Linked DNA regions of Bombyx mori. The protein of the gene in region 4 purifies or fractionates together with the protein of the main gene of each other region. This does not show direct contact. Links are inferred from orthologs where the notes say so. Each region holds a gene or a part of one and is shown on either strand. Other genes may lie near its edges.

Region 1 (7,383 bases), on a different chromosome or scaffold from region 4:
TATTACTTAGGCATCTACAAATCACTGGATTAAAGTAGGTAGGTATATATTGATATATATGTATATTGATTGTATTATCAACAATCTAACGTTAAACTAAGAGTTCGCAATCTCCAATGCTACGAAATTATTCTATATGGCCATAATAATAGGTTAGGGTGAATTTTACTGCAAATTTCAAATTAAAAAAAAGATTAGAAAATATTGATAGTAGCTTGAAAAATCTATATAATATATAAAAATGAATTGCTGTTTGTTAGTCTCGCTAAAACTCGAGAGCGGCTGAACCCGTTTGGCTAATTTTGGTCTTGAATTATTTGTGGAAGTCCAGAGAAGGTTTAAAAGGTAGATAAATTTGAAAATGCTCGGAATGAAATAAAAAAAAACAATTTTGTTTTTCCTTTGATGTGTCCCCCGTCGGACGGATTCCTTTTGATTGTTTTAAGTTTATTTTATACAAAAGGTTAGGTATTTTATTTATCGATTGAGGCACTACGAAGTCTGCCGGGTCAGCTAGTGATGAATAAATAACAGACGTTTACTGAAATATTTGGGAATGCAGCGTAGTATACTATGCGCACTGAGTGCAGTGGCCAGCGCACGGTCTGAGCTGGCTGAAGCAGTAGTGGCTGGTGGTGCACTGCCCGCCGCCCTCTTGCACGCCGGCCATGACGCAGCGCCAGTCAGGCGTGCCGCAGCCTGTCTACTGAGGGACATTGTCAAGCATTCGGTCGATGTGAGAGTCTATATCTATATGTATATAAATGAATTGCTGTTCGTTAGTCGCTAAAACTCGAGAACGGCTGGACCGATTTGCTTAATTTTGGTCTTGAATTATTTGTGGAAGTTCAGAGGTTTAAAAGGTAGATAAACATGAAAATCGGACGTCGGACGGATTCCTTTTGTTTGTTTTAAGTTTATTTTATGCAAAAGTTTAGGTGTTTTATTTGTCGATTGAGGAACTACGAAGTCTGCCTTGCCGGTTCAGCTAGTGGTTTTATATAAATTTATTGCTAGGTAATCGTAATGCAGTGTTAATACCGATCCCACGTGAATTCGACGATTAAGTTATATTAGTAATTTATCAGGTTTTTTTTGCGATGAATTGATATCGGTAGAGTTTTAGTGTAAATAGCTTCTAAGGTAGGTTCCGAGCAGCGCATGATACTGTTGTGAACGAAATAATGTTTAAGAGCAACATGATCAGCGCGTATGAAGTGATCACAAATGTTATTCACGGAAAGAAGAGATTCGAAAGCAAACTATTTTACTTTAATTCCTATTTACTAAACTTGTTATTTGTTAAATAATTGGGTAAAAAAAACATAGCATTACGTTCGATTAGTCAGTTATTTGTTATAAAATCAAAACAGAAAGAAATAATCCATAATCTTACTAATACCTAACTATGAAATATTTGCAATTTATTTAGTTGGCTCAGCTAGTAGTGAACACTGGTGGATGTGGTCCTTTGGTCGAACTATTAAAAGAGAGTACGGGTGGATCAAGAGTCCCAGCTTGTATGGCACTAGGATTTATTGCAGGGCAATCAGATCAGCTCGCAATGGCAGTTATAGAATCGAAGGTGAATAAAGTTTACATTTGTGTTTGACACAACTCAATAAAATATTAATATTTATATTATACCTTTTATATATATTATACCTTTTAAACTTAATTTCACGTCTCCGGTCACCGGTCACGTCTGTTGAACCAACGACGCCAGGTGGGGGAGGAAAGTCCTCGAATGGAGGCCACGGATGGGTACCAGGAGCGTGGGGCGTCCTCCAACCAGGTGGACCGACGACTTAGTGCGCACAGCGGGAAGTCATTGGATGCGGAAGGCGGAGAACCGCATGCTGTGGAAGGCATTGGAGAAGGCCTATGTCTAGCAGTGGGCAGATAAAGGCTGATGATGATGATGATATTCAAAAATTATATTTTAAGGAAATAAAGATAATTTAAATTTAAAATGAAAATATTGAATCAAAATTAATAAAATTTATTCAAACATTGAGGGCGGCGCGATAAACAGGGCCTAGGGCGCCATCAAGCCTAAATCCGTCACGGCTTATACCTATGTCGATGCCATAAACATAACTTATTATATATATTTATGAGTGAAAACTGGTAATACTGAGACTATTAGTCAATTTATGAAACATTGAATTTAAAAAAAAATATGAAATAAATAATCTTATTAAGTTTTTTCACTACACTATTTAAGTTATCAATCATCACAAATTGTGACCTGTTGTGTTGCCTTTTCTGGTTTTATAAATAAAAAAAATGTATCTATCAATTTTAGGCCATTACACCACTTGTTGAAATTCTACAAAAGAAAGATGCAGAAGATGCAGAGTTGTGTGCAGCTACTTGGACATTAGGCCACATCGCAAAACACTCACCACAACACAGTCTGGCTGTTGCTGTGGCCAATGCTCTACCTAGACTGTTACAAGTTAGGTTGACCTCATTCTTACTTTAGATTAGTTTAGATGTAAAAGTATTTGTGGTTTAAAAATTAACAGCAAGCAGAATTAAAATTGACATAACGTTTTTTTTTTATTCGATGTACTAATTCTGATCACAATATTAAGCCAAAGTAATAAAATTACTATATTATTGTCATCAGTCTTTAATACTTGTCTGATACATGTGCAAATAGCACATTTATAATCTTTTCATTTATATACGTAGATAGATGTCAATATTTAAAGTATATTTAAATTATATTTAAATTAAACATCGTTAGTTTAATTTTACAGCTTTACACAAACCCAAAGTCTTCAGGAGAAGTACAAGCTCGGACATCATGTGCATTGAAACAGGCATTACAATGCTGTCTACATAGACCTGCATTAGAGACATTGTTACATTCTGCACCTGCTTGTATATTGAAATATGTACTAGCTCAGTATGCAAAGGTAATTATTCTAGTTAGGCAAATATAACAATAATACACTATTTCAAATGAAACAGTGCTCCAGTAATCAGTAATGATTGATTTTTCGATTGATTAACGATTGATTCGTTTAAATATGATGTAGCAGTTACTTAAGTAGTAAACTTCTTTCGCTGAAATATTCATTTATTTCTATTTTTTAAAGAGTTCTACCAGGCGGGACTGTTTTTCAAATTGCTAATAAAGAATATTTGAAAGTAAAAATTAAAAGTGAAAACTATTTGATTAACAGTTAATTGTAATTATTTTTAATATGCAAGATCAATCAGTTTCAACTGTGTAATATAAATTTGTATATATATATTTCCTAGTAAACAGGTCCATCATCCAAATTATCATCTTCTTCTTCATAATCTTCCCCGTTATCAAAATAGTTATTTGCATAGTCAGTACCATCATCTAGTTCGTATTCTTGCTCATGTTCATCTTCCAGCTCCTCTTCTTCATCTACGTTTTCGTTGTTTAATTCTTTTTTTTTGCCGTCTATCGCCTCATCTGTTTCCAGAGTCTCTTTTTTTTCAAGCGTTTGTAATCTCTTTGCTATCTCTTCGGGATCATCGAGTTTTCTTTTCCTCGGAACAGTACGCGGACGTTTTGCTTGAGGCCGTAATTCGGTAGGCATGTTAACCCACACGCAATCCAATAACTTATTCTGCTTCGCATCAAGTGCTAACATTTTGTACTTATCAGAATATCGCTCTACACCGTCAGTCTCTGTTTTGACTTTAACAAATGCCGGTGATTCGTGTAGATATTCAATGAACTGATCTTTGACAATGAGCATATAGTCAGTGGCGGCATCACATATAAGAGGTAGTGGTTTTTTCTCAAGTTTTGGAAACAGTGGTGGCGGCACAAGTGTTGGAGGAGCATTGTCGCCGCGTGTCACACCTAAGGCTTGTATTTGCTCAGTAGTTAATGATAAACCGCTACCCCCGCGTCCTCGTCCTCTACCTGCCATTGTAACTGTAATCGATTTTTTGATCAGAAAACAATTTGGTGATAGTTAATCTATTTAAATTTGAAACTCCAGATGGTATCTACCTATCTCAAATATATTAAGTGTATAATCTATGGTATCTACGTACCCTACTCATTTGTTATTGTTTTGAATCGGATGTTTTTTCGTTTAATTCTTTCATAAATCAGGTAATAGAGACGTAGCTCATACAGCCAACGTTAAAAAAAATCGTGGCTTTATTTATTTTTCAAAACGTAAAATGCAGCAGTATGAGAATTATTGATAATTTGAAATTGACTATGGCGTGAAATAAGAATAAACTAGAGATGACATGAAATAAGCCTATGTATATTGCCTTCATCATTTGAAGAACGTGAACCAATTACCGTAGTAATTCGTAATGAGGTTCATCATTTATTAGAACAAAATATACGTGCGAATCATTCTCTTGCAGGCTAAATCCAAGAAATGTGTATGTTTTTCTTATTAGGGTCTTTTGCAAGTACCATTTAAATTTCATGGAGTTTCATAATTTCTGAAAAACTGTTCAGTTCAGAAATTATTATACAAATTATAATGAAAGTATAAGGAAGTAGATTATTTATGTTCGTTTTATTTTTTCAGATTCTACCCAACGATGCAAGAGCTAGAAGGCTTTTTGTTACAACAGGAGCATTGAAAAGAATACAAGAAATTGAAACAGTGCCCGGAACGTCCCTGAAGGAGTATATTAATATCATAAACAGTTGCTTCCCTGAAGAAATAGTAAGGTAAAAGACTACCTACTAAAAGAAAATTTGTCCTACTCAAATCTCAACTGTGGGCTTTTATACATTTTTCATTTTCAGATATTATACTCCCGGCTACACAGATTCTTTGCTGGATAGAGTTGAAGCGTATACACCACAAGTATGGAATAAACTCTTATGTATATATTTTCGATAGACACTTGTAGTTTTCATGTATTAACATGTAACTTTCTTTTGTTGAATAGATACCAGAACTTTTTACTGATCGGGTGCCGAGTGATTGCCAAAGCGAAATGAGTATAGAGAAAAGAAATTAGTTTATTTTTCTTATATGTTGTTAAATACAATTTATTAATACTGTTTCAATTTTCATTCTTTGTACATAGTCCAAACAATTTTTTGTAGTTGTACATTTCTTCCACCAATCTTAGATTCTTCTATTACCATTGATTGAGTCAATACTCTGTAACTGCAATAGGATTATGGTTAAATTTGTACACAGACCGATTTATCTGCGGTAAAAATCTTGCCCGATTTAGAGGGTATTATCCAATTCGCTACGAGTGTGTGCTTACAGTCAATTTAGCGTTAAGTAGTTACCTGAGCCCAAAGACATCACAACGTGAATATCACCACCCGGTCGGTGACAAAAGGTCTAAGGGCCCATTTTGGTACTGCTGGTCCACACTTCAAACTAGAATGCAGGACAGCTACGCGATAGAAACACTCAGAATGCGATTGTACATTACGTCAATATAAACCAATTTATATCAATTACCAATCGCAATACGGTTGTTTAACACTCAGAGAACGCTGTTTTCCAATATTTTTAACTTATTTTGTAAAGTTATGGATAGTGTCTAAAATAGAAGCGTAGGTATCTAAATGTTTCTTCAGTCGGCTACGTTAGACGCGCCAATATATAGACGAGCAGATTCATGTATCTCGCGATGACGAGAATTTATATTATAATTATAAATTATAGCATTATCTTTAAAAATCGGAACCCGTTTCGACAGTAGGGATTACTTTCTCTCCAAACGTTTCTTGCGTCACTACCCCTATTTTACTTTGGTAAGAATAATAGATCTGCATGGCTATCAGTGTTCTATTTTTTTAACTATAAATATATAATAGGTACACATATATGAAATATTAGTTGACCCAGCAAAGGTTGTTTTGCCATTAAATTTTTGGGTTTTTAGGAAAGAGAAATAACCTAGATACCGACTGCAGCGCCATCTGCGGGGTTGATTTGTGAATCTAAACCATCCAGGGCGCCACCCAAACGAATAGAAATTCATTCAAATCGGTCCAGGCGGAGTTCAGTGACATACACACGTACAGTAGAATTATATATAGGTAAAGATAGTTATAATTACGAGCGTGAATTTAGTAAATATAAATATTTTATTTAGACCTACAAACTTGAAGAAAAAAAAAGAATTCTTAAGCTCTTAAATTGGAACTAGATATTTCACACTGCATCGCATCCTTGTTATCTTATACCATCAGACTTTTTAGTCTCAAGGAGATGGTATAAGATAAGATAATAAACTTTTTTAAGCTACCTTTGACGAAGTTACTTCAAGATGTGTTCCTTATAGTTTATATATACTCACTTAAAGTCATTTTCAGCCAACAGATTTAACATGCGTACACCCAACGCTTCGATCTCGTGAAAATTCTGGTTTTGAAGGAATTTTATGTCATGTCGTATTAAATTCGTCTTTAGTAATTCTAATTCATTTGCATTTAAACCCTGTGATTTACAAAAAGAGAAAACGAATTATTGTGGAAGCTATTGGCCATTACACACAATCGCCAGGGAGGAATTTAAACTGGCTACATACTTGTAAGCATTTTAAATAGCACTATTGCAGACCTATAAGAGGCAGGTACGTTATTATAAGTCGCAATAAAGAATTGACGCATGTGATGTATTATTAATTGGATGAGAAAAACTATTAGTACTTTTAGATTTACATAAAACAATAATTTTAGTTTGATATATACAATTACTCGACTCGACAGACGTTCTCCTGTGGTGCACATGTCTTAAAATAGAAAATTTCACTTTTTTGAATAATTTGGACTGGTGATGAAAATATTTATTACCTATAATAAGGTAGGTATACTTAAATGCACTTGAACACATATACTTTGTTGCTTATTGCCACTTTAGTCGAGAGGACATACGTATCTAATAGTATACTAGTGGTTACAAGCTACCTGAATTTTACAAGAAGTGTATCCAACAGTTTCTAGCTCAGTCAGTAATATGTAATGCATGTTTAAATGATGAAGGTATACTACCAAATGTCCACCACAAACTGAATAACTGTACATGATAATTGTGGACAGGAAACTAGCTGTTATCTTACTGTCGTTATCTACCGGTTATGGTAAGTCTTCAATACTAAAGTGATAAAATAATACAAGTCAATAAACAAGCTATATTTTTGTTTCACTTTGTACCTACTACTATGTGGAAAAAGTACACGGAAAAGATCAATAAGGATCAATAAGATCAAAAAGCGGAAGGGTGGGGTAGCCGTTGTAACTATACTGAGACCTTAGAACTTATATCTCAAGGTCGGTGGCGCATTTACGTTGTAGATGTCTATGGGCTCCAGTAACCACTTAATACCAGGTGGGCTGTGAGCTCGTCCACTCATCTAAGCAATAAAAAAAAAAAACCAATTTAA
Region 2 (8,570 bases), on a different chromosome or scaffold from region 4:
CCTCAATTATAGGTGCAATCGACAGTGCATTAACATAAATGGGCTTTCTTAGAAACGGTTTATATTTCTTCGTTCTTGATAAGTATTTAGGGGCTGATATTTTTATCTGGGTTAAGAGATTAGGTGTGTCGGTTATTCCATGGATTAATCAGATGAATACCCCCACTCTAAACAAATATTAAATATTTTATTATGTATTACTTAGACATTTTTGTCCACCTTGAGATTTCATTGTTCTTGTTACATGTCCGTGAAAAATCGACTTACTTATATTAAATTACTTATCTATTTCAACTAAAGACTTATTCCCAATTTCATAGGCTTCTACTGCTGTTTTTAATATTAAAGGATCATATCTCATAAAAGGCTTTGCACTCTTTGATACGTACACGCGAGGCATATCTAAAAATAGAAAACAATATGTAGCTGATAATATAAATATTTACCAAACAATAAAATAACACATTGATAATTTTGAATAAAAGTTCTAGACAAAGACATCATGATTAAACCAGATTTTTACCAACAAATTTAAAAAATATTGTTATAACTACATAGACAACCCTACAAACCTGTACCTATTTATACTTAGGTCGTTTCCATTTCACGTATTCTTATCCCAATTGACCCCTTTTTCGTTGTTATTTGTACCTAAGACGTCCCCAATATCCCCAAAAACAACAGATTTTTACATGTATTTTTATTTTATCAAATACATTAAAACCAATAACAACTGAGACTCACATTTAATATATATGCTGGTTCAAACACTAAATAAAGTTTATAAATCACAGTCGTCTTCTATTATTATCAAATAAATAAAAGAGAGCAAAGTTTCTAGCACTAAAATAATTACCACCACAGGAAGTTAATTTGAAACGCGATTTTTTATAAGTTAGCAGCTATTATCATGCATATTCAGAGTTGTTTTGTGAACTTTCAACATTCTGCTATTAAACTACAAGAAATGTAAGATTTTGCAACGAATATAAAACTTATATTGAGCGTCGAAAGATTTTCCCGGTTTTTTCCCGATTCGCCTCTCAATCCCTAATCGCCCTATTTTACCGGTACTTAATGCTAAATTAATTTTTCAATTGCATGATAAAAACAATACGTAAATTTTATTTTATTTTATGACCTGGTAACATAGACCTTTACGTCAAATATTTCAAATAAAAACAATATTTTAGTTTTTTTTAATGAATTTTACGACTTGGTAACTAAGACCTTTAAGAAATGTCTTATTTTAATTTATATTCTTATTTTTATGAAAAATGTTAATATGGAGTGAAATGGAATGAAACGAAATGAGATGAGATGATATGGGATGAATTTCATCTCAGTAAAATGGTGGTACATAATTTACTGAGATTTTTTCAGTCGACTTTTTGGAGGATTCTGAGAAGTTACGTCCAGCGGCTTTAATTCATTTTCCCACATTTGTGCATTTTCACAGATATTAAACAGTTAATAAACCACCGTCATTACACATTTAACGAAACACTAAATAAACAAAATAAAACAAATCACACAATTGCACTCCTCGTGGTCCCGCCAAAGGGTCTTCTTTCTCTCATGGAGTTAATAGGTACTAACCATAGATTATACTTATTATTTGATAGGTACTAACTCTATGCTTTCTCTACAGAATCAGCCTCAAATTTTATTATTAAGTGTATTACGGCTGTCCAATTTCAAAACCTAGTATCTGACAAATTTAAAAAAAAGTGTGTTTTTGCATTTTTCGACCTTGTAGACCATTCTCCACATATTAGGATAGCAAAAACCCCCAAAAATTTGTAAAAAACGAAGTTACACAAAGTCGGAAACCTAGTATCTACAGTAAAGGTTTTCAAAATGCAAAAATTACAAGATTAGAACATAGTATATAACATCAACCATTTTAAAAACCTAATAAGTGCTTGTAGTTACTTGGATTTAAAATGGTTCATGCAGATACTAAGGCAATGAAATGGTTGAAATAAACGTCAAAACTCCCGCGAAACTTTAGTAAGTGAGAAAATCGTTGCACGTTGTTCGTGTTTTTGTCTATAAAATGAGTAAAAATCAGTTTTATAGGTCGAAATTGATCTTGAATGCTTTAAAAGAACAACATGGTGAAATGTAAGTACGCTTCAGTGTGTTTTATTATTGTCAAGGTTTTTTGTTTTCCAAAATTGCAACCTACTACGACACATAAAGTAAATGAAGGTGCAAATATTCCAGAGGATGTTAAAACTGCATACGGGGATCACAAAGCTAGAGCAAGTAAAGCAATACAAAAGTATCAAGAAGATGCCTCCCTAGAAAATACTTCCTCTGTGAGATACTATTCGATGGATTTACAAAAAGTTATGTTGTTACCCGACATGCCTAAAGTCAAAGAATCGTTTTTCTTGAGTAGAATGATAACTTTCAACTTGACATTTGCACCAATCAGAAAGAAAACGAATGTTAATAATATTTGTATTCTATGGCATGAAGCCTGTTCTGGACGAGATGCTCATGACATTGTTAATGCAATTGCAGCAATGATCGAAAAAGAAAGAGATTTTAATCATTTGATATTGTGGTGTGATAATTGCAGAGCTCAAAATAAAAATTGGATCCTCTTTACATCACTTGTTACTATAATAATCTCTGGGTTTTTCAATTTAAAAAGTTGGACTTTGTAATACCTACCTAACTAAAGATCACACAAGCATGTCGCTGATGGAGTTCATGGCAATATGGAGAGGCAGATTAAAAACAAAAGATGCTGTGTACGATTTTGAAGACTATAAGAATGTAATTTTGGGTTGCAAATCGCATATTGAAGTTATCGAATTCGAAAAATCGTATGAGTGGGTAAAAAAGAAACGCATACCGCGACGCAATGATGACCTTGTTCCCATTAATAATTTTTTGCTTAGTTCTTTGGTTGAAATAATATTTGTAAATGGGTGCCGTAATATGTTTTGAATGATTTTTAATCTCCGTATTCCGAGTTGAATTCTCTTATTAAAAACACAATCTCTTGATCATGCCAACCTTAAAAAATATTCCAAGAGGCATTAACGAAAGTAATAAGGAAGGCATAGTAACAACTTTATTTAGCTTAAAGAAGTTTTGGAGAAGAAGTCTTGGCAAAGTGTACCGATTAATAATAATCCAGTTAATTTAGTTTCTAGTGGACAAATATTAATAACCGAATAATTTATTTTTATTTGACTGTTTTCAAATATTTTGAGTGATTATTTTTTGATTTTTTACTGTGAACAAATAGTGTTTGGTTTCCGATTATGTGTTTTTTTTTTCTTTTTCATTAAAACTGCTTATTTCTGCCCATATTTATGTTGTTTTATTCTGTTTTTTCTTACTATGTTTAAAAAATTGCATTTAGTTCCTACTCAGTAAATTCAGACCTAAATGAAAACAAAGCAAGTGATCTTACTAAGTCTATTAATTTGCGTTTATCCCCACTCATTATATTTTAGAATTAGATGAAAACAAAGCAAGTGATCTTACTAGGTTTTGAAATTGTCACACTCAAAAAGTTTGATCTAAGAAAACAATCTTTTTATTAGTAACTGCTCCTCTACGCACATCTTTTGTGATAGACGCATGAAATCTACTTTTTTATAAAGCCTGTTATGCACCTCAAATTTTGCAATCACTCTCAAGAAGGTACGACTAATATTATTGAAACGGCACGCTGTCAAAGATATGAAATTGTTTTTCGGCTCTCCTGTAAAATTTAGTTTTATGCAGATACTGGGTTTTGATATTTCACAGCCGATTAGTATCGACGCTTGAAAGGCAAACGTGACTAGGTGACAATGCAATGACAATGCGTGAACTTTACAGTAGACTAAAGTTAAAGTTGGAATACCTGAAAAAAATCTATTTTAACGAATCTAGCTGTAGTAGAATCTAGCTAGTAGCTGTAGGATTGAAATGATTTTAATAGACCTAGAAATATATAGTTTTTGCGCCTCGAATATGGTTATTGCCTATCATTTATGTACAAAGCAGTTATTGTCGCTTAGTCACGTTTGCCTTTCAAGCGTCGATATGGAATGAAACATTGGAAGGTGGACTTAAAAAACTCGTACCCATGCCTTCAATTCTTAAAAAAAAAAGCAAAATAGTAAACAGAGCAGACCATAAAATCTTCAAAAACCGAAGTTTTAAATAGAATTTAATAGTAACATATTTATCAAATAAACCAATGTTTGTATTAGCTGAAATGAAAGATGTTATTCGAGTTAATCCAGAATACTTTCGTCAAAGTCTAACTGATTCTATAACAACTTTACTCAACAGAAAGTTAGCTAATAAGGTTCATAAATCATAACTATCCAAATTAATTTAACCGAATTAGTTTATCTAATTGTATTTATTATTAGTTGTATATTGTATAATATATATGTTATTAAATATGTATTTTCAGGTTGTGTTAGAAGTAGGTTTATGTATTGTACTGTTTGACATAACCAATGTTGGACACTCGTACATATTCCCTGGAGACGGTTCATCTCACACAGAGGTGAAATTTAGATATATCGTGTTTCGACCTATTATTGAAGAGATACTTATAGGAAAAATAAGGAGCTGCAGTAGAGAAGGCGTGCACGGTAATTTATCAGTCATAAAATTACATGTATACTCAATAATGAGACCCAAATGTAAATAAATCATGATTATAATTACTATTTAAAATTTTCAGTGACATTAGGCTTTTTCGATGATATATTAATACCAGTAAATGCTCTTCAGCATCCGTCTAGATTTGACGAAACCGATCAAGCATGGGTATGGGAATATCCTAAGGAAGATGGAGAAAAACATGATTTGTTCATGGACTCGGGTGTGTATTATCAAACTCCAATTAATTAATATACATTTAATAATTTTTAATAAATAAGTTAAAATTTTAAATATATGTTAATATCTATTAAAGTACACTTGCTGAGTGAAACACAATGTGTTGGTGTCGTAGTCTGGTCCCAGCATTAGCATTGCTACCTTTGTATTGTTTAGAAATGCCACAGATGGGTTTTCTATAATAAAGATTCCCGCAGGCAGGTGCCAATGCTTCTAATGAAATACGTACTTAACAAATGTTCACGAATGACGTCCACAATGATGGAATAATATTGGGTGATAAAAACCAAACTTGCAAAATTATAATTTGTATAATTAGGTAGTAGGACATCTTATGAGTCCACATGGGTGGACTCCACCACCAGCTGCCTATTTCTGTGTCAACCAGTAGTGTTTGGTTTTAAGGATGGAGCATGTGTTGCACTGTAAAAACGGAGACCATAGAACTTATGTCCCAGGGTGGGTGGCTGCATTTAAATTTTAGATGTCTATGTGCTTCAGTAACTACTTAATGCCAGGTGGGCCATGTGATTGTCCACTCATTTAAGCAAAATAAAATATGCCAAAACACAGGTTAGCACTGTTGACTAACAAAACTTAATAAAATGGGTATTTGTTTAGAAGACAATGCCAATAATAAAAGCACCTAAAAAACTACATTGGTGGATTGACACAATCTAGATGTAAATTATAATAACTACACAAATATTATGCCTTATCATCACTACAAAGATTCTTTTTACTGTTAACATTGAAAATCTGTACTTTTAATAATAAAACAAATTACAGGTGAATCAATAAGATTTCGAGTGACAAGTGAGTTTTTTGAAGAGAGCTTACCAACAGGTCCTCCAGGAACAGATTGTACAGTACAAACGGTAGCACCTTATAGACTGATTGGAGGAATAAATGAACCAGGACTTGGACTTTTAACCTGGTGGGAGACACCAGATCAAGAGGGTGAAGAGGATGAAATAGATGATGAATAAAATATTCAGCTTCTATTGTTATTTTTTTATTTGTACTATGTTTGGGGAAACGGTTTGTTAAACTTCTCTGAATGTCTCCAAAGGAAGCTAATCATAAAAGGCACATGGCAAGTCCATCTATCAGGAGATTGAAATTGTGAGCTACTGAGAATATACAGGGAAACTAAGAGGGTTTAGTTGCTGATTAAATTATTTTTTTAGTTTCGATGGGTGGACACACTCATAGCCCTAGTATTAAGTGGTTACTGGAGCCCATAGACATCTACAACGTAAATGTGCCACCCACCTTGAAATATAAGTTCTAAGTCCCCAGTATAGTTACAACAGCTGCCCCTCCCTTCAAACCGAAATACATTACTGCTTTACGGAAGAAATAGGCTGGGTGGTGGTACCTACACGTGCGGACTCACAAAGGCCCTGCCACCAGTAATTACGCAAATTATAATTTTGCGTGTAATATACTAAAGATGGGTTCAAATTCAAGTGACGTCTATAGGTTCTGGTAACCCCTAAAGATTGGAATGAGCCATCTGGAACTAATCATAAGAGTCAGTTGATAATAACTGTATGTAGACTTCCACTTTATTCAAGGAGGACGTTGATTATTGTCTGCTTAAGATTCGCTATTAATTCAAGAATTATAACCTCATTAAAACGTTAAAGTAAATTAAAAAGTAAAATATAATTTGCAACAATATTTATTTAACATGATTATATAATAATACATAGTGATTATATTCCATTATTTTATTATAATTTTAAAATAATAAGTAAATGCCAATCTTAACTTAAGAATTCGGCGTTATAAGTAGATACTATGCCATAGTAACCTTGTCGAAAAAAAACCTAAAATCACAGTGTTTTGACCTGGGTCTAAATCCTTTAATGCACCAAATTACAAAAAGTTATGGGTCAGGCATATGTAACCAACTAATGATACTTTTTGATGAGATCACTCAGTTCAAAAAGGAATAAAATAAAATCTAGAATAGTTAAAATTACTTTTACACTATCACTTTCTACAATATTAAAATCACCTTGCAAAATAAATAACAATGTGTTACAAAAAAAACCGGTTTGATCCTTTTCTGCTAGCTATACAGGGTATAGGTACTGTATACACTTAAGCATTATGTAAGTTAAGCTTGTGCAGTTTTGCCTGTACATGGGATTTTTTTGAATATTAGTGGAATTGTATGAAAATTTGCTATATTTGTCAGAATATGCTTGTGTAGATAAAATGTACTGGTAAAACTAAGTGTTTGTCACCAGCACTGGTCTTAAGTTTCTAGTGATTAGTAATAAATAATAATAGTACTATATAAGTCATTATTGAGCGCATCCAATACTGCTACGGTGGCATTATTTAGCTGAGAACTTTGACGGACAGTTGGTAAAAGTCTTTCTACGAAAGGATAATAATAATTAGCATTGTAAATTGGATTTCGTCACGTTTAAGATGACGGATTGGCCTGCGCTTTTTAATTTCAAATTTGTTAAATTCTACACGCAATTCTACCTTTTTTTCTGACTTGACTTTTAATAGTTCTACAAAGATTTCACAGATGTTAAAGTCACAGCTCATTAGAGCCACCCGGTACTCACTCCGCGGGCCTAATGGCGGGTGGACCATTCGGCGACAACTCGCTGCTATGCCTAAGTATGCCTAAGTATGCGACTTGCCTTACGATGACTGCGCATTGTCAATGCTGGCCACAAAAAATTCACACGAGAACGACACCAATAGTTAAACTGACTATAACTGGAAAATTCGTTGAACAAGCGACGCCCAGTCGTTAACCACATGGCGGCCACACGTGGACCACTTATCGACCACGTTTGGACGCCGCGCGACGAGGCGGTGGGGAGTGGGTGCCGGGTGACTCTAATGAGCTGCGACCTTTAATGGGCAAGATTTAATTATACTCGATACTACCACTTTCATTTTCACTGCCAATAAATTTTCTGACAGTAGTAGGGGTATTTCCAATATTATCCTATATATCTTACTGTTACATAATTAACAGTTTATATTTTACTACAATATATACGGAAAGATAGTTCTACATACATAATCTTATAAATCGCCTAAGATGATATGAGTGTCTACTGCCAATAATATTATGAGTTGTTAACTGGTTCTGAACTGGTAGTGAAATAGTTGTCCAAAATAAATTCACCCCAGTACACTGAGATGGTCACTCAAGACCATCAACTTAGGTAAGAAAAAAAAAACTGGTAATGAAATGGTTGTCCAAAATAAATGTCATCTAAAGCTAGGTTACAAATTTTAAATTTTTATGTCGATTATTAATCCTTTGACTATGCTTTATATAAAGACATTAAATACTTAGTATTATTAATTACAAGTATACACGATGAAATTTTCAAGTGAAATATGAGTCTCAAAATTAAAACCATGAGGAAAGACACAAAAAATTAAATTTTTTATGAAAAGCAAACCACCTGTTCAAAATCAATGTTATTTAACCAAGTTTATTTTCAAATCAATATGTTTCTTATCAAATACCAGACTATAATGATACAAGTTTTGCAGTTATATTAAAGTATGGCTTAATTTGTTGTGTCGGTTTACTAATTCAAACTTTAAGTGCCTTCAATTTAGATCCAGATTTATTCCTTTCATGCTCACTTGACAATTTCGCCTTGTGCTATCTACTCTAAAAATACAATTTCATTTATTTATGAGAT
Region 3 (8,120 bases), on a different chromosome or scaffold from region 4:
CGCAGCCATTTTGATTATGGCACCCACATTCTAGAACCTTGCAATAAGTCTGCCTGAACCTCCTTGGACATGATCCAATCAAAGTGCCTACGTATCATAATCGGACCAATGAAGTCTTCCCCCATCAACGTACTTCAGGTCGAATGTGCAGAACCCCCCTTGCACTTAAGGAGACAGTACTTATCGGACAGATTCATTTGCCAAAAATTTCAGCTTTCCAACCACCCCCTTATTTAAAAGTTACATACTCTTTCGGAACACATCTATTTCAACAGTTACTGGAATCATAAGTCCCACCCATGCCTCTTCACCAGTTTTGTTAGGTTTATCAGCCTCCCCTGTCCGTCTATCAATGTAGGTTAAATCCTTTATTCCTCACACCTTATAATGCAATTCTATACCGCCCGAACATTGTTCTAAATATCGGAATAAACAAAGATGACCCCGGTGCAAACGCCAAATTTAACTCTGTCGTCAATAGTAAGTGAAATGGTTGGCATACTATGTTCACTGACTCATCAAAAATAAAAGCTGACGGCTGTGTAGGCTTCGCTGTCTGGATACCGGAGTACTAAATCATTTTAAGCTTTAAGTGTTCCCCTCAAGCCTCGGTTTTTACAGAAGAGGCGCTAGCTATCCTTGAAGCCCTGATGTATATAGAATCACATAAGCTACACAACACGGTGATATTCACTGACTCTAGAAGCTGCCTACAGGCTATCCTTGCAAACCAACTCAGATCCAAGTCAAATTCCCTTTTGTTCTGAAAATCAAAGAAATTCTTTTTCGGTGTCACGTGTCTGGCATAAAAGTCACCCTAACTTGGATCCCGGGACATAGCGGTATAGTGGGTAATGAGGGTGCTGATCAGTGTACTAAGGATGCCACGACAATAGGTAGTGATACTCATTACCCAACCTATGCACAAGATCTAACGTCTCTAGCTAAGGCCGATCTCATATCGTGCTGAAATGAAGCGTGGAACCTTTCGAACGCATTAGAGGTAAACATTACGCGGATGTTCAAGACTCGTTGCTCGTTCGGCCTTGGTTTTTTAAATATAGGAAAGCCAACAAGAGAGTCACGTCCACAATATGTAGGTTAAGACTAGGTCATGCTTGTGCCCCGGTTCACCTAGCTAAAATAAGGGTCAAGGATAGTTCCCTCTGTGAATGTGGGCTCGACGAGGGATCAGCAGAACACATTTTCTTTAACTGCCCTAGAAGACCTTCCCTTTACGAAGTGCTACCGGACACTATCCCCAGACCGACAAATTTCAAATCTTTGTTGAGCCTTGTACATACACCTTATCTAAATATTTTATGCGAATATGTTCACCAGAATAACATTAGACTATAAGTTGTTTGTCCTTACTAACCTTCTAACAATCATTTTTGTTATATATGTATGATGCCTATAAAATCAAAGGCAGCTAAATCCAAGTCTGTCAAATATTCAGGTAAACTACAAAAATGGGCCCTAAACACGTCATTACGGATCCTCCCGATCCATCGAAGTACTGCTCTTGCTAGGGCCAGTGTTAGCAACACTCCCGGTTTGAGAAGCTGAAATAACTTTGTTCGGATAGCTACGATATTCTTTATTTTACAGCACATTTATAAAGAATGAGAATATTACTAATAATCTGAATTTTAAATGATAAAACTTCGTTTATTATTACTTAGTACAGAGTAATAATAAAATTTTGGAACTGAATTTGTTAGAGATTTAGCTGCATTTGTTATAACATGAAAACACTAAGGCGTGTCCAACTAACTAAACAAGATAACGCCATTGTAAATCCATTTTACGACATTAAGGCATTTAGCTGCCTTTGATTTGATAGGCCTCATATATTGTTTGTCCTGTTTTAGGTAAGTAATTCAACAGTTGATTACTTTGTAAAATAATAATAATTAAAATTTATGTGACCTTGTGCAATCACGAAGCCTATAAAAGAACAAACAAGAGTACAAACCACACCAAAAGACATCTGGGCACAACCAAAACCACAGACTATAAAACTGGATTTTGGCAAAGTCAAAAAGGATTGAATTTCAATTATAAAAGAAATTGATAATTGAAGTGTGTGACGAGCTGATAATGAGCAATAATGAAATGTGGATTGGCCGTAACAAGTAAAAAGCAATTAAAACAAGTCTCATAACAATAAAATTTTTGTAACTAGTCTTAACCTACTCTAGTTTTTTTTGGTACATGAAAAAATCACTCTTATTTAGTTTATATAGTTTCAAGGCTTTAACGATTCAGAATATTAATAAGCTGACAAAAACCTGCACCCACGCACTCGTATACAAACCTCAATTGATGCAGATTATAAAAGAAGCAAACAGCAGGTCATTTTTCAAATGTTAGAGCTTACAATAATTTTGGCTATTAAATATACAGTAGAGATAGAATTTCTTCACAAATAGACAGAAGGAACCAATGTCCTAGGCTTTGAGACTTTGACCAGTTAAAATAAATACTGTGTTAAACTTTCCATTGACAATGGGAGGCATGTAAATCAAGAGCCTTTGTGCGGTGATTAATATAGGTATGAAAGAAAAACTCTAATATCTTAAAAAATTTATGTCAATTATAGATTTTTATTTTTAATTGTGTTTTTTAAAAAATATTTCATTATTTTTCTAATGGGGAATAATTCAAGAGTTTTTCAATGAGATCCACGTGTCCGAGCAACATTCTTCTGCAGCAGTATCTTTTCAATCCAAGGACATCCAAAGCATCACTGAAAGTAAAAAAATACAATTAAATATTAACATTCACATAGTAAATCTACTGTATACAGTACGCTTAACTGACTTCGATGATTACCAGTAATCTATCACTATCAAGAGAATCTTATGCCTATAAACACATTAAAAAAGGTATAAGAATACTCAAAGCTAACAAGCATTAACAATCTTATTTCATTGCTGCAGTTGGTAGTAATGATTATATCAACTCGGGCCACTTTTTACATAGCTTACTTGTCTAGTAGGATATCATCTTACATTTATCACTTATATGCTTCCGTTTCCTCACACTCAAACTGGATATTGCAAAACAGTCCAGAGATTAATCTGGTGTCAAGATCTACCATCATTACCACCTCATTCCCGATCCTGCGGACAGAATGGAAAGCAGTCGACGTCGCCCTAAACACGTCATCTCGGATCCTCCTGATCCACTAACGGTGCTTTTAGGTACTTCAAGCACCGGTCACCGTTCTCGTCGAACCCGTCGCTTGCGACGAAGGGCTCGACGAGTAAATTAATTCTCAGACACAGCCCACTGAGTTTCTCGCCGGATCTTCTCAGTGGGTCGCGTTTCCGATCCGGTGGTAGATTCTGCGAAGCACGACTCTTGCTAGGGTTCGTGTTAGCAACATCGTCAGGTTTGAGCCCCGTGAGCTCACCTACTAAAGTTAAGGCTACGCTGAAATAGCCGCTAGGGCTATCAGCTTAGGTAGGAAAAAAAAAAAAAAAAAAAAAAAAAAAAAATTACCACCTTGTGACCTATGGATTATGATAACCACTTTAAGATAGGTGGGCTGTAAGTATGAGTTGGCAAATAAGAAAAACCCAAGTTAACAGGAATCACCTACATATTCCGTCATTTGAATTCATAAGAACATTAATATTGTTTCTGGGAGGAGCTGTTTTATCTTTCTTGCTGAATTTTTATCAAATAACTACATTATATTATGTATGTCAGTTATTTCCATTTTAAAGTTCTAGAATATTGGTAAGTATAAAAACCAGTTGCAAAACTTAAATTGTACAGTACCCTTCTGTGTAATCCGCCTGTAGCAGGCCTAAGTAAGCTTCCCATTTGTTTCCTATAACCTTCCCGCATGTGAAACATCGTACTGGAATAATCATTTTGTTTATTTCCTACAACCTAAAGTTGTGGTGAGGCACTGGGGTTATAAAGTATCAATGCTTTAACTATTTATTTGGTTTATAAAACGTATTTACTTTTAATAATAATAGAAGATATTTTAGTTACAAAGTATCATTAAATTTAATGAGAAAACACTGTAATTCTATTCTTTACAATTCACAATAATATTATTTTACTTCGAGATAAAAACTTTTTAGACTCGCAACGACAGTCATAGATTACATATTGTATTGTCTATGACTTATGATTAAAGATGACAGTGTCACAAGAAAATATGATATTTTTGTTTGTCGATTTCAATCGGCAAAAGGAATGTAGTCTATAGAACCAAATTTTAATGTTTTATTTTTAAAACATTTTAAAACATTGAATGAATGTTCATTTCATTTGAATGGTACATAATTATTTTTTAAATTTCCAAACTGACTTTTAGTGGTTGGATTTTAGAGAGTAAGATATGCTCCTTTTTAACGTTTGAGTGAAATTGATTGACGCATATTTGGAGCAGTCTACTTATTATTAGAATATTTTAATAAGTAATCAAGAAATTTTCTAAGCCAGTCTCTTAAAAAATGTGAAATGTATGGTTTTCTCTATTATTTCAGGTTAAAATGACTTTATCCCTGCAGCAACATATCAGTATTGATGACAGTCAAATGGTACGTAGCATTTCATTTGTGATCATCGGCAAATTTTCAATGTAAATAAATCAAGTTAAAACAACCATTCATTCCGTACATTAAGGCATGGGAGAGCATATCGAATTTGTGAAATCTCAAAAGTCCAAAGTTAATTATTTTATTTTGTAAATTTAATATTTCATCAGATCTACATGTGTAATGAGAGTGAATTGTGAACCGTTTGGAATATGTGAAAATGCAAAAGTTTGGGAAAATGAAAGACGAACGTCAGTCATAGCTTCTCGTATTCTTCCAAAATATGCATTAGGCTGTCAGTTGCTTAATAATAAGTTACTGCGATATTTATTTAATTTCATGTAATTCAAGTCCTATGATGTTGTTGTTGTTAAGTATATTTCATTTTCTCCTTCAGTGTTATCTGCTTCGTCTCAATATAGGAATCGACTCATTGCAATGCTGCGCTGCATAAAAATATGTTCTAAATACATTTCCAGCTGCTTTACTCCATTTTCTCATACTTGTGTACTATAACAAATGTTTTACGGTTAATAAACCATTATTTTAAGCTTTAAAGTCTGAAGAAACCCTAAATTAACTACAACGTACAATTTCCATTCGGTCTCATACAATTATTCAGTTTATTCGTTCCAGTTCACCTTTGACTGATGATTGGCTTCAGCTTAAATTACAAAACATTTTACTGTATGCGTCCCATTTCCTTTGCCTGTACTATATGAACGAATCAATAAAAATGATATTTTGACAATTGACATTAGATTATTAAAAGAAATACAACAAACAAGGGGGTTTTGTAATTTTTTGGTGATAATTTTTCTTACTTTTCTGTTGTATTTTGAATTATTTACAATTTCAAAGGTCTGGCCTTAGCGTTAATTCGGATATAATAGTGAAAAATATCTGACAGTGCAGTTATCAGGCAATTTTGCAGTATGAAATTTTAAATTTATTTTTAATTTCATGAACAAAAGCCTTGTTCTCAATTGAAATACAAGAATTCATTAAGATTATTTTAATAAGTATAAAAAAAAATGTCTTAATATGATTTCATTTCTGTAATGAAATTTAAATTTATTAGTCTACTAGATAAATTAAAAAAACAAACAATATATTACAAAGTAGTGCGATTATTGAAATAAAAAAAATGGATTCAGATGATGATATTCAACCTTTGATACATTATAAGGGAAATAGCTCTCGAGAACCACTGTATTTAGAACTTACAACACAGTTAATCAACATTGACCCTGATTTTGAACAGGTAAGGACTAGTTTTATCCTTAATAGATCAAAAACACTGAATTACTGATGATTTTTAATCAAATTAATTCATATATACATACAAAAAATCTGCTGTTCTATTTGAAAAGGTTCGTGTGGTGGGTGGTTTTGCTTAGTGAGTCATGTAAAAACAGTTCTGACTTCCAGGATGAATTAGCCAATGGCCTAATTCTGATGAAACTTGTGTTTTACTGCATTAGGAAGTGACCTTGGTGATAAAGAGGTGCCAAATGTGAAACCACAGGTTTTTTTTGTGGGCTTTGGGCTGAAGCTGTGGGACTTAATGATCTGCAGATGTTGTGAACAGACTGTGGTCCCAAAGATGTTTTTATGAAGGACTTTTATCCTGCTGGGTCAGAACCAGCCTGCTGGGTTAAAATGTGTTACGGTCTGGGTTGGTCTTCCACAGTATATTCGGTGACGACAGCTACGACCGCAATGTGGATGGCAATGCAGATCCCAGCTGATGACGTGCGGTACCCTGCAGGCGAATTCATAGGGGGTCTCTCCTTCCTCAGCAAAACAAGTCTCCCTGTCTTGCTTGCTCCACAGCTTAGGAAGCTGCCCCGATTCAAGGCAGGCTTCAATGAGCTGCACAAGCCGCTCCCCAAGGGTCTAAAGTTCCCCAAGGGAAGTCCAAATCCTAGCCCCGCCGTGAACAACGTCAGGGCAAGGGGTCGTGTCCTTGCCCCATAACCTCGGCACGGTTGCACGAATCTCCTCCTCCGAGATGCTTGGAGGGACCACCTCAGCAGGGGCGTCACCGGTCACGTCACCGCGTGGCGGCGCGCCCATGGGACCCCTCCCAAGTATGCCCATGTGTGGGAACAGCCCGCAGCTGTCCAAGCTGCTTCGTCACCGGGAGCGCCCACAGCCGCAATTTCTTGCGTTGGTTTGGTACGGGTGCCCCAGAGATCCTGATCGAGCGTCTCTAGATACATCTTCATGCTGTGAGACGTGGCTTTGCATCGCATCGCAGTATCGCAGACGCGATGCATCGTACCTCGGAACCAGTTGGCCGCCGACTCCAAGTCAACTAGGCACGCGGCGCCCACACGATTACTGTGGCCGCCTTCACCGCGAGCACCTTGTTTAGGTGCTTCAGTGCCCATCGCGGGAAAGAGCTACGCGGGAGCTCCTTCCTCGCTGCGGGCATCTTCGGTCGGGGCGTTTAACGAGGTGGAAGCGAAGAGCTCGTATCGGACGCACCGATGGTTCGAGAGCGTCTCTGCCCCCTCGAGGACGCGCCAGCCACAGACACGTTGCGCGGCGGACGGAGACGCGAATGACACGTCTACATGTGAGTCCCGCACGCAGGTCGCGACCGAACTCCTGTTCAGAAGATAGAGGCCAAAAAACCACATGACTTGCCTACCCATTCATGTCAAAAAATGTTGTTACTGTGTGAAATTAGGTATAAAATATGAAAAAAAAAAATTACAAGATAATCTACGCTTTTTGAAATTACGTCATGAAATTTAAATCCTTATACTATGAATTATATACATAATTAAAAAAAATGTATTGTGTAAAACAAAATACTGATATGAGAACAATAGAGAAACTTATCAATTCATATCGACGCTTGAAAGGCAAACATGACTAAGCGACAAAAGTAGGTAAAATGAGTTAGATACACCATTGGAATCGTCTGATTTTTCTGCGTCGTTTAGTATAGGTTTCATCACTCTGTGACGTGTTTTATGTCGCTTAGATATGGTGTGATTTTCATAAAAATGCAGAGTTTTTTCCTACCAAACGACAAAAAAAAAGTTATTTTAGAGACATCCTGCAGTTAGGACATTTTAATAATAAGGTATTATTCACTTAGTCAGTTATTCATGTTTTTAAATTTTCATTTGTTTGTATTTATTTATTTTTACTTGTTATGAAATTATTCTTTGAAACCACTTAGTAGATTGTACCTATACAAAGTAGTCGTAATTGGTACAGCTATACAATTTAACCTGAAACAAAATGGAATACTATTGAATCTTAGATAGTTTTACTTGTTTAACATAATATCCCTTTCCATCCGTAAATATTTTTACATGACAACATTTCTAATAACTACGTCGCCTAGATAATTTTACTTGATTAATTGCAATGGTTACTTTTGGCGCTTAGTTATGTTTACCCGTAAACAAAATATTTTTTTTTGTCGCTAAGGAACTGCGCAACTTTAAATACGTCGCGTGGGTATGCGCAACTAGTCGCGTACCACGTTTTGGCGGGCTGGCAAAATGTGACATTCGTAAGCTGGGCGTCGCT
Region 4 (8,648 bases):
GCCCATCAAACGTTATTACAACGGATTCAGAGGGTTTCCAAGAAACCGAGTCATTAATTTTCACCTTGCGATTCAAACGTCTTATTTTAAGTATTTTGCCGCAGCCTATAGGAACGGATACATTTCGTTGAACTTCGTCTACACTCCAATCTACAGGGACCCCACGAACTAGCCCCATTCTTGTTATGTTGAAAGTCGGAATGAAGGCTTTTAACTTTTTCGTTTCCAAAAGATTGCAGTTAAGAAAGTTATTGGCGTCTTTATAATCGGAAAAGCCAACTACGCACCTATTTCTTCCTATACGCTTTACACTACCGGGAATAATATTTTCAAATTTGTTCTGCTTTAAAAAATTGCCGAAAGTTATAGGATGGAGAACGGTCCCGTCATCAGGTGAACTTTGTATACGTTGAACGTGTATCAAATAAGGGGAAACATCAGTAAGAACATATTCAGTCCGGCCGATCCAACGGGAGTCTGTATTGGTTACTGTAGTTTTCGTGTTATTTGAATTTCCCGCGTTAGAGTCTTGAGAGATATTTGAATTTCCCGCGTTAGAGTCTTGAGAGATATTTGAATTTTCCGTATAAGATGTTGATGGTTGAGAGGACGTTTTATGTGAGTTAATATTATTTTGCGAGTGTGAAGATGACGTCGATTGAGATATAGGTTTAGAACTTTTAGAAGTAATCTTTTTTATTAAAATTGACTCATCTTCCATATTGCATAAACTTTCGCACTGACAGTAATCACCGCTAGAACCACCTTTCTTATTTCTCCTTTTCGTACACTGCCGACAAAGGCGTAGATAACGTGTTCGTTTACGACTTCCTTCACCTGTCTGAGATGATAACGAACAATCCGTATCCATTTTATCAAATTCATCTTGTGAAACAACAGTTACATATGATCCCACGGGGAGATTCAGGCCAACATAGCCATCATCCCCCCGATCGAGATCGGGGGGCTCGTTCATACAATATTTACAAAAATTACAAAAACTTACCAACTATACGATGACACTATACACAAATATGATACAAAGATTACATATATTACAAAAACTTACACTACCAGCTTATCCTCCGCGTTTTAACTATAAAATTAAATTAAATTTTCACCACCGTGAAAAATACGTCTACCATAAACGAAGTTTCCCGCGCTTTTCTTTAATAACCTTAAACGCCTTCCAAACCTCTTTAATAACCTTAAACTCCTTCTCGACCTCTATAACCTTAAACTCCTTCTCGACCTCTATAACCTTCCTTTAACTCCTACTCGACTCTTTTACCTTTAACTCCTACTCGACTCTTTTACCTTTAAAATAAAAATAAAACCTTTCACAAATAAGGATAATTATAAAGCTTGGAGAAAGCTAATTAAATTATTGCTGGATACAAAGGGTTAGAGTCGAGAAGGAGTTAAGGGTTAGAGTCGAGAAAGCAGAGTAACGCAGTGGAAGCGTGCTGGGCCCATAACCTGTTGGATGGTTACATTTTAAGGGGTTGGGTTCTGTAGGTGATGAGGGACTATTTAAAAACACAACTGCTTCATTATAATTATATTGCAGATTGCTTGAACACTTTTAAACCATTATACAATTATTATCTTTATATTTTTTTACTTATTAAAACTATTACATGTTTGTCTTGCCGTGTCTAGATGAGAAGTTCTGACATTTTCTTACGAGAATACAATGATCTGTTTTTTTAAACATTTAAATTAATTCCAATATTCGAAATCTAATCAAGTGTCAAGTGTTGCCTGCCATTACATTTAATATACAAACTCCAACAATATATTTTTTTCCTAACGTTATATAACCAATCGAGCCATAAATACTGTTACAAAAAAAACTTCTTTTTTTCAACTATATAATGATTTTGAATTTGGAACACGTATATTATTTTAAAAACTTTGTGGCGTTTAAGTACGCACCTTTTTATGATGCGTAAGCCGGAACGCACGAGAGGTGGGAAACAGAATATAGTCTGTGACACGGGACCTTTTTTTTACCGCCAAATATTTAAAACGTAAAAACAATTTATAATGTGTAAAATAACTAATATAATATAATTAGCTAGAATTGTTTATGCCGCTACATCAATAAAATTTATATTGTTTCAACTGTGGTGTTAATTACATAAAACACGACTTTACGGCGAAAGAAAGACTCTATATGAACTCCCTCAACTTCTTTCGATTTTGCGCCATTTCACATATTTTTTCGTGTTCATTATCAAATTACAATATGGAATAGGGTGTTAAAGAAAATAGGTTTGCAGTAATCGCCTTACACAAAGTGGATATGGAGCCGTCGGTCATATTCCAGACACTTCAAAAGCTTGGTATCAGCCGTATGTTCGTAAATTGTACTATGAACAGATACAAAAACACTTTGTCTGTCGAAGACCAGAGAAGGTCGGGGCGGCCTCGTGGTGCTAGAGCTACAAAGGCTACTAATGCTGTTAAAGCCAGAATTCGTCGCAACAGCGAAAAATGATGATTCCCGCTAGGACTGTCGCAGATTATAAAACAAGACCTGAAGTTCAGTGCTTATCCTCGATGTACATAACATGACCTAAATCGATCTTTACAATTAAAGAGAGTGGATCGATCCAAACGTCTTGTGTGCAGGTGAATGGCACAGAAATATCCTCTTTACCAATAAAACAATTTTCACGATTGAAGAACACTACAATAAGCAAAGTGATAGTATAATTTAGGGTATGCACACCGTTCTGAAGAAGTGCTATAAAGAAGTGTTCTGCTCAAGTGATCAAAGGAACAACGTAGTCATAATCCTGCGTCAGTAATGATTTGGTGAGGCGTGTCTTATCAAAGAGTCACAAAACTACATTTTTGTGAAAAAGGAGTAAAAACTTCAGCCAAGGTGGCTGATTGAAATTAATTTTTTGGCGGGAACGCGAGGAGTGAAGTTGTGTGTATTGTTTTATTTTGTTTATTTAGTGTTTCTTCAGGCTTATTAACTGCTTAGTATCTGTGAAATTGCACAAATGTGGGAAAATGAAACAAAGCCGCTGAACGTAACTTCTCGGGATCCTCCAAAAAGTCCACTGAAAAAGTCTCAGTAAATGACCTCCATTTTACTGAGATTATATTTCATCCCATATCATCTCATCTCATTTCATTTAATTTCATCCCAGTTGATTAATGTCTCAAATTAATCATCTTTATTTCATTTCACTCCATAATATCATTTTTCATAAAAATATGAATATAAATTAAAATAAGACATGACTTAAAGGTCTTAGTTACCAGGTCATAAAATCCCTTAAAAAATATATATATTTGTTTAGCCCATAGAGTTACTATTCTAACTAAGGTACTTATTAACTCCATGGTTTAGCCCAAGCCCCAAAGCATATTCTAATAAATCTAATACACAAACGCTTAATATTTTCCAAAAATGAGTTCCGAAGATACAAAAGAGAAAATACTAAATCTTGCAAGAAAAAGCTCGAAAGGAATTACAGACAAGGATATAATTGCTGAAATACCTGGCATATCATCAGTAGAACTAGTAACTGCTTTAAATGATCTGCTGAAACAAGAACGTTTTGATTTATTTAATCAAAACGGATCTTTAATTTATAAGTACGTTAGCAAAATAATGAAGGTGTCTAAAGATATTAGCGTAACTAATAAATATAGTCTATTTATAGAATTTTTAGAGAAGAATTGGAAGATTTAGAGAAGAATTTTCAAAGAACTTGAAATAATATTAATAATAATAATATTATTAAATTTTATTCATTTTAGGTTGAAAACTCAAACAAATAAGCACGCAATCAAAGGAGCAGATAATGAAGAAAAGGTAGTCTATAATCTGATTGAAGAAGCAGGAAATAAAGGAATTTGGATTAGAGATATTAGGATCCGTTCGAATCTTGCAAACACTCAACTGACTAAAGTCCTCAAAAATTTGGAAAGTAAAAAAGTGATAAAAGCTGTGAAATGTGTTAATGTAAGTAAATTTAATTTTAAATCAACGAAGATCTATCTGATACTTAACTTACAATTTAAACCTGGTTAATTCACAGGCCTCTAAAAAGAAGGTTTATATGCTTTACAACTTGGAACCAGATAGATCATTGACAGGGGGAGCTTGGTACCAAGACCAAGACTTTGAATCCGAGTTTGTAGATGTCCTCAATGTACAATGCCACAGGTTCTTGAGTCAAAGAGCTGATAATATGAGAAACAATCCTAGGGGACCTGTTTTTGGACGAACACAAGCTTATGCTACTGCTACTGAAGTCCAAAAATATATTACTGATCTGGGAATTAGTAAAGTAAGATTTTACAAACATACACTAACTTTTTTTTTTTTTTTTATTGCTTAGATGGATAGACGAGCTCACAGCCCACCTGGTGTTAAGTGGTTACTGGAGCCCATAGATATCCACAACGTAAATGCGCCACCCACCTAGAGATACAAGTTCTAAGGTCTCAAGTATAGTAACGACGGCTGCCCCACCCTTCAAACCGAAACGCATTACTGCTTCACGGCAGAAACAGGCAGGGTGGTGGTACCCACCCGCGTGGACTCATAAGAGGTCCTACCACAATACACTAACTTGGTCAGCGAACATTTTAAAATACCATGTAGATTTAATTAATTAATGTTTCATTTATATCTACTTATATGATGTTTATTATTACATCAACGTTTTGTTAGTGTTACTTTTCTTTTACAGGTTGTATTAGATGTTGATGATGTAACAACAATTTTAAACACCCTAGTGTATGATGGGAAGGTAGAAAAAAGTGTGTTTCCCGATGGAAGTAATGTATATAGAGCTATAGAAACTCTTATACCATCTTCAGGCCTTGTTCAAGTGCCATGTGGAATATGCCCCTTGATTCAAAGATGTAATTCCTCAGGACTAATTACTCCACAAGTTTGTAATTATATGACTGAATGGTTGGAATAATTAAAAAAAAAATATAATTAATAACATTTTTAATACCTATTTAAATAAGTATCATTGATCTAGTTAAAAGAATATAAGCTTCCTCTACAAATTAAATTGTGACTAGAGACATTATACTTAAAAGCATTAAATAATATATTTCTGTTGAAAACACATACTATTTTAATTCTATTATAAGTTCAAAATTTTTGCTTTTAAAACAGATATTTGTAGAACATTACTTAACAATAGAATACTTAGTTACAATATGAATATTGTGTGCACATTTGAAAAACCAATACTTTTATAACTGTAGATAATTTTATATAGTTAAAATTACGTAACTTTTAACTGAGAAAAGTCTACTTTATAACTTGTCACACAGAAGGCTCCTGTTTTAAAGCAATTTATTGCAAATTAGTTATGGTCAACAACAATTTTGCAACAAATTATTTAACATTCTAGTGGTCATTTCAACATTTTAATGCAAGTACAATGTGTAATTTATACTGTAAAATCCTCAAAATAAACTTCTAAAATTATTCTCGATATTATGCAAAATACCAGAGAGTACAGCTGGCTCCCTCCTATTTCTTGTAAATTTATCTTCATCTCTTTCTTTCTCATATTCAGTATTATTTTTGGGGAAAAATGAGCTAAATGCGTCCATTTGTATATAATTCAACGACTGCAATATTAGGCCTTTATTTGGATAAGGTGTGGGACTAAGAGTTGGTGAATTGTGATTTATATGTTCAGGAACGTGATTATTTAGTGTGGCATCTGGTGGTGATCTCCCATTTGTACTATCTTTGTCAGAGGATGGGCTGTTTTTGGGTGCTTGATCTCCACCTATTAAAAATAGAAAATAAATTGATGATTGATATATTTACATTGTTCTTAGAATCAATACTAAGAAAAAATTTATCAGCAAGCTTTGTCACCAGTTTAAATATTTCCATGCCATAGTGTGTGATATTGATAATATTACAATTTCTGAGATGATAAAATAATTAGAACCTGTACACCACATGATATCAAGCAATAAATATGCATGACAGACTCAAGTACCAACCATACTCATAAATTGAGTTTTAGCGCCAGTCAGAAGCAACAAAACAAATTGCAAACCAACAGTTCGAATTAGTTGGAACTATGTTAACTTAGTGATAAGCAAAAAGTAAAGATTTAACTCTTACTGCTGCCCTTGGGAAGCATTACAGTGTCTGAGAAATATGTATGCTAACACCATCATAAATCAGTATCTTTGAATAAATTAAAAGAACAGGTTACAAATATATGAAAGATTCTATCTATAAAGTACTTTATATTATATTTTTCCTAAATCGAGAATAATAAAATTGGCAGTATAAATTATTTTGCAAATGTTTTGTATGATTTTACATCTCTATGTACTGGTGTTTATAGAAAATAGAAAATAAAAAATGGTCCAATTTGTTTGTGAAGCACATGTCCATATTGATTATGTAGACATTAAAAATCAACAAATAACAACAATGAACCTTCTATTAAGATATATTTAAACAAAATTATTATTTTTCCACAACAGTGGCTTAATGATAGTTTTAGCTGGTCTATAACTGATCTATGGGTGAAGACTAGGCTTTTATAACCACATTTCCAATTACAGTTCATTTGAACATCAGATTTATAGACATAGCAACATGCAAAAAAGGCAGTTTGGTAAATATTTTCAACCAACTATATAACTTGTTCATAAATAAATAAATTTTACTCATATTTATACAGTGTATAAACCCGACCCATAATAACACTATTATCATTTTAAGTTCAAAGTCTTCATTCAAACCTTATAATGTTAAGAAAAGACCAAAAAGACCATATTATATAATGTAAATGGTTCCAAAAAAATTTACAGGTGCAACAGAATTAGTTTTATTTACTAACAACATACCAATAGAATGAATAAGCCTTTCCATTTCTCGGAGTTGTGTCTGTTGTTTTTGCACAGTAAAATACAAATCTGTGATAGTACTTGTGATGTGTTTCATCTCCTCTTCACGCTTGGCTTCTTTGGCTGCTTCTTTTTTACTTTGCCTAAAAATAGTCAAAATACAATTTCGAGACATCTTTTAAATTTACCTTTTATACTGTGAAAACATACCTATTGTACTCGATCACTAAAAGGCTAGCACCAATTACGAATATAACCGTTTCGCCAAGAAGATTTGCTCCAAGTTCAATGGCCATTTCCTGGCTTAAAACAGGAATATTGACAGGTTTTCCCAAATTTAAAATCCACATTTTGGCTTTAACTTCACACCAATTGTAAACTGTGAAAAAAAGTACATGAGAAAGGTTTGTTTCGCTTATGTATAAAAATGATTTTATATGGAAACGTGAAAAGCATTATTACTTACATTGCGCTGGAGGCATACAAACATAAGTTCTGAAAAATGGATTATTCTTGGCTCTCTCCTTGCACACGTTCGCGATTGGTTTACTTATCTGTTTCACCAACAAAACAGATAATTTAGCTATTGGAAACGCCCCTACAACCATATTGTATGGGTTATTCAAAATAAATACAATAAATCCAAAAATTCGGTTTAGTCCTTCACAATGGTTTACAGAATCTCAATTATTTATTCCCAGGGTTCGTAAAATCGTCGTAAAGTTTTGGACATTTGATAAATTTGACAGTTAACTTATTGACAGTTTTTCTTCGGCATTAAACAATACATCCTTGTTCACTTATCCCCAAGAGTAACACATTTTAGGCTGGCCCCAATATTTATTATTATATTTTATCTATTAGTTTCAATCTATTATTTATATACAAAAAGCTGATTTCCACTCACCCTTTACAAGTTCGAAATTACCAGGCCGATGATTTTAAATTTGACATACATATTTTTGCGACACAGACGCTCAGTAGGAACAGATTTTATGTAAATCCTATTCTGATTGGGTTTTACGTACCTAAGCTTCGCAAAATTGCCATAATAAATTGGCAATTTCGGGGTCGTAAAACGATCCAGATTCTGCAAAACACTACTCTTTTTAGGCCCAATGTTAGTAAACTCTCTCAGGTTGAGCCCGTGAGCTTATCTACCAGTCCGTGAGTAACTGGAATAACTCCCCCATCTATTAGGTAGAGAAAAAATCCCCGAAAAACGCACCATGCTTAGTTATTTCTGTGAGTTAAGCTTCAAGGCAAATCTATCACTATATATGTATATTCATATATTCATTGAACAAAAGTAATAAAATGGAACGGGAAACCTAATATCATTTGCAATTTTTAGGATTTTTTTGTTCGTGTTATGTTTATTTGTGCTCGTCTCCGAAAGTACTGGACCGGGAATCCATTTACGGATACCCGGTCGAGGGGAGCATTGGACCGGGTTATGTTGGCCTCAGCGCCTTAAGAGAGGAAGAGGGAGACGAGGAGGGCCAAGGTCCTCCTCCAATTTCTCGCAGGAGAATACGCCTTGAAAAAGGCGCGCGAGGCACTCGCCCAGCAAAACTAACTAACGACTTTAACCACATCGAGCTCTACCACACCGGCTTTTTTTTTTCAGGCCAGGGGCTGAACCTTCTACGAGGTCCCCGCGCCTAGGGGGCGCGCGGAATATGTGGGACTTGACGATCTGCAAAAAAATCTGGTCTTGCTGATCACACCGGTTACACCAATTCTACGGTACCGTAGTGCGCGCCGAGTTCGCC

The links.
Region 1: the proteins of DNA-directed RNA polymerase III subunit RPC6 (region 4) and DNA-directed RNA polymerase III subunit RPC7-like purify together in Homo sapiens (co-immunoprecipitation; 5 studies listed by BioGRID and IntAct, counting the BioPlex papers as one, with this or other methods). This does not show direct contact. The link is inferred for Bombyx mori from reciprocal best matches to the Homo sapiens genes POLR3F and POLR3GL.
Region 2: the proteins of DNA-directed RNA polymerase III subunit RPC6 (region 4) and DNA-directed RNA polymerase III subunit RPC8 purify together in Homo sapiens (affinity purification with mass spectrometry; 4 studies listed by BioGRID and IntAct, with this or other methods). This does not show direct contact. The link is inferred for Bombyx mori from reciprocal best matches to the Homo sapiens genes POLR3F and POLR3H.
Region 3: the proteins of DNA-directed RNA polymerase III subunit RPC6 (region 4) and DNA-directed RNA polymerases I, II, and III subunit RPABC5 purify together in Homo sapiens (co-immunoprecipitation; 3 studies listed by BioGRID and IntAct, with this or other methods). This does not show direct contact. The link is inferred for Bombyx mori from reciprocal best matches to the Homo sapiens genes POLR3F and POLR2L.

Annotation. Positions count from the first base shown.
Region 1 is NC_085117.1:13,526,950-13,534,332, reverse strand, and holds DNA-directed RNA polymerase III subunit RPC7-like, read right to left. Parts: upstream 4,208-7,383; 5' UTR 4,054-4,207; exon of another isoform or gene 3,932-4,053; 5' UTR 3,927-3,931; coding exon 3,273-3,926; 3' UTR 3,186-3,272; downstream 1-3,185. Other genes in the region: sperm-associated antigen 6, read left to right, coding at 563-736, 1,433-1,585, 2,309-2,461, 2,769-2,927, 4,551-4,696, 4,775-4,835, 4,921-4,992; uncharacterized protein LOC105842656, read right to left, coding at 5,045-5,144, 6,298-6,437, 6,908-7,024. UniProt on the Homo sapiens protein: DNA-dependent RNA polymerase catalyzes the transcription of DNA into RNA using the four ribonucleoside triphosphates as substrates. Specific peripheric component of RNA polymerase III which synthesizes small RNAs, such as 5S rRNA and tRNAs.
Region 2 is NC_085117.1:13,230,090-13,238,659, reverse strand, and holds DNA-directed RNA polymerase III subunit RPC8, read left to right. Parts: upstream 1-3,789; 5' UTR 3,790-4,213; coding exon 4,214-4,324; intron 4,325-4,435; coding exon 4,436-4,619; intron 4,620-4,711; coding exon 4,712-4,852; intron 4,853-5,658; coding exon 5,659-5,858; 3' UTR 5,859-5,873; downstream 5,874-8,570.
Region 3 is NC_085133.1:5,482,280-5,490,399, reverse strand, and holds DNA-directed RNA polymerases I, II, and III subunit RPABC5, read right to left. Parts: upstream 4,165-8,120; 5' UTR 3,888-4,164; coding exon 3,793-3,887; intron 2,753-3,792; coding exon 2,644-2,752; 3' UTR 2,578-2,643; downstream 1-2,577. Other genes in the region: polyamine-transporting ATPase 13A3, read left to right, coding at 5,713-5,829. UniProt on the Homo sapiens protein: DNA-dependent RNA polymerase catalyzes the transcription of DNA into RNA using the four ribonucleoside triphosphates as substrates.
Region 4 is NC_085131.1:5,842,996-5,851,643, reverse strand, and holds the start of DNA-directed RNA polymerase III subunit RPC6, read left to right. Parts: upstream 1-3,324; 5' UTR 3,325-3,430; coding exon 3,431-3,618; intron 3,619-3,783; coding exon 3,784-3,988; intron 3,989-4,064; coding exon 4,065-4,316; intron 4,317-4,721; coding exon 4,722-4,958; 3' UTR 4,959-5,457; coding exon of another isoform or gene 5,458-5,789; 3' UTR 5,790-6,873; coding exon of another isoform or gene 6,874-7,016; 3' UTR 7,017-7,083; coding exon of another isoform or gene 7,084-7,252; 3' UTR 7,253-7,339; coding exon of another isoform or gene 7,340-7,481; 3' UTR 7,482-8,648. Other genes in the region: putative OPA3-like protein CG13603, read right to left, coding at 5,458-5,789, 6,874-7,016, 7,084-7,252, 7,340-7,481. UniProt on the Homo sapiens protein: DNA-dependent RNA polymerase catalyzes the transcription of DNA into RNA using the four ribonucleoside triphosphates as substrates.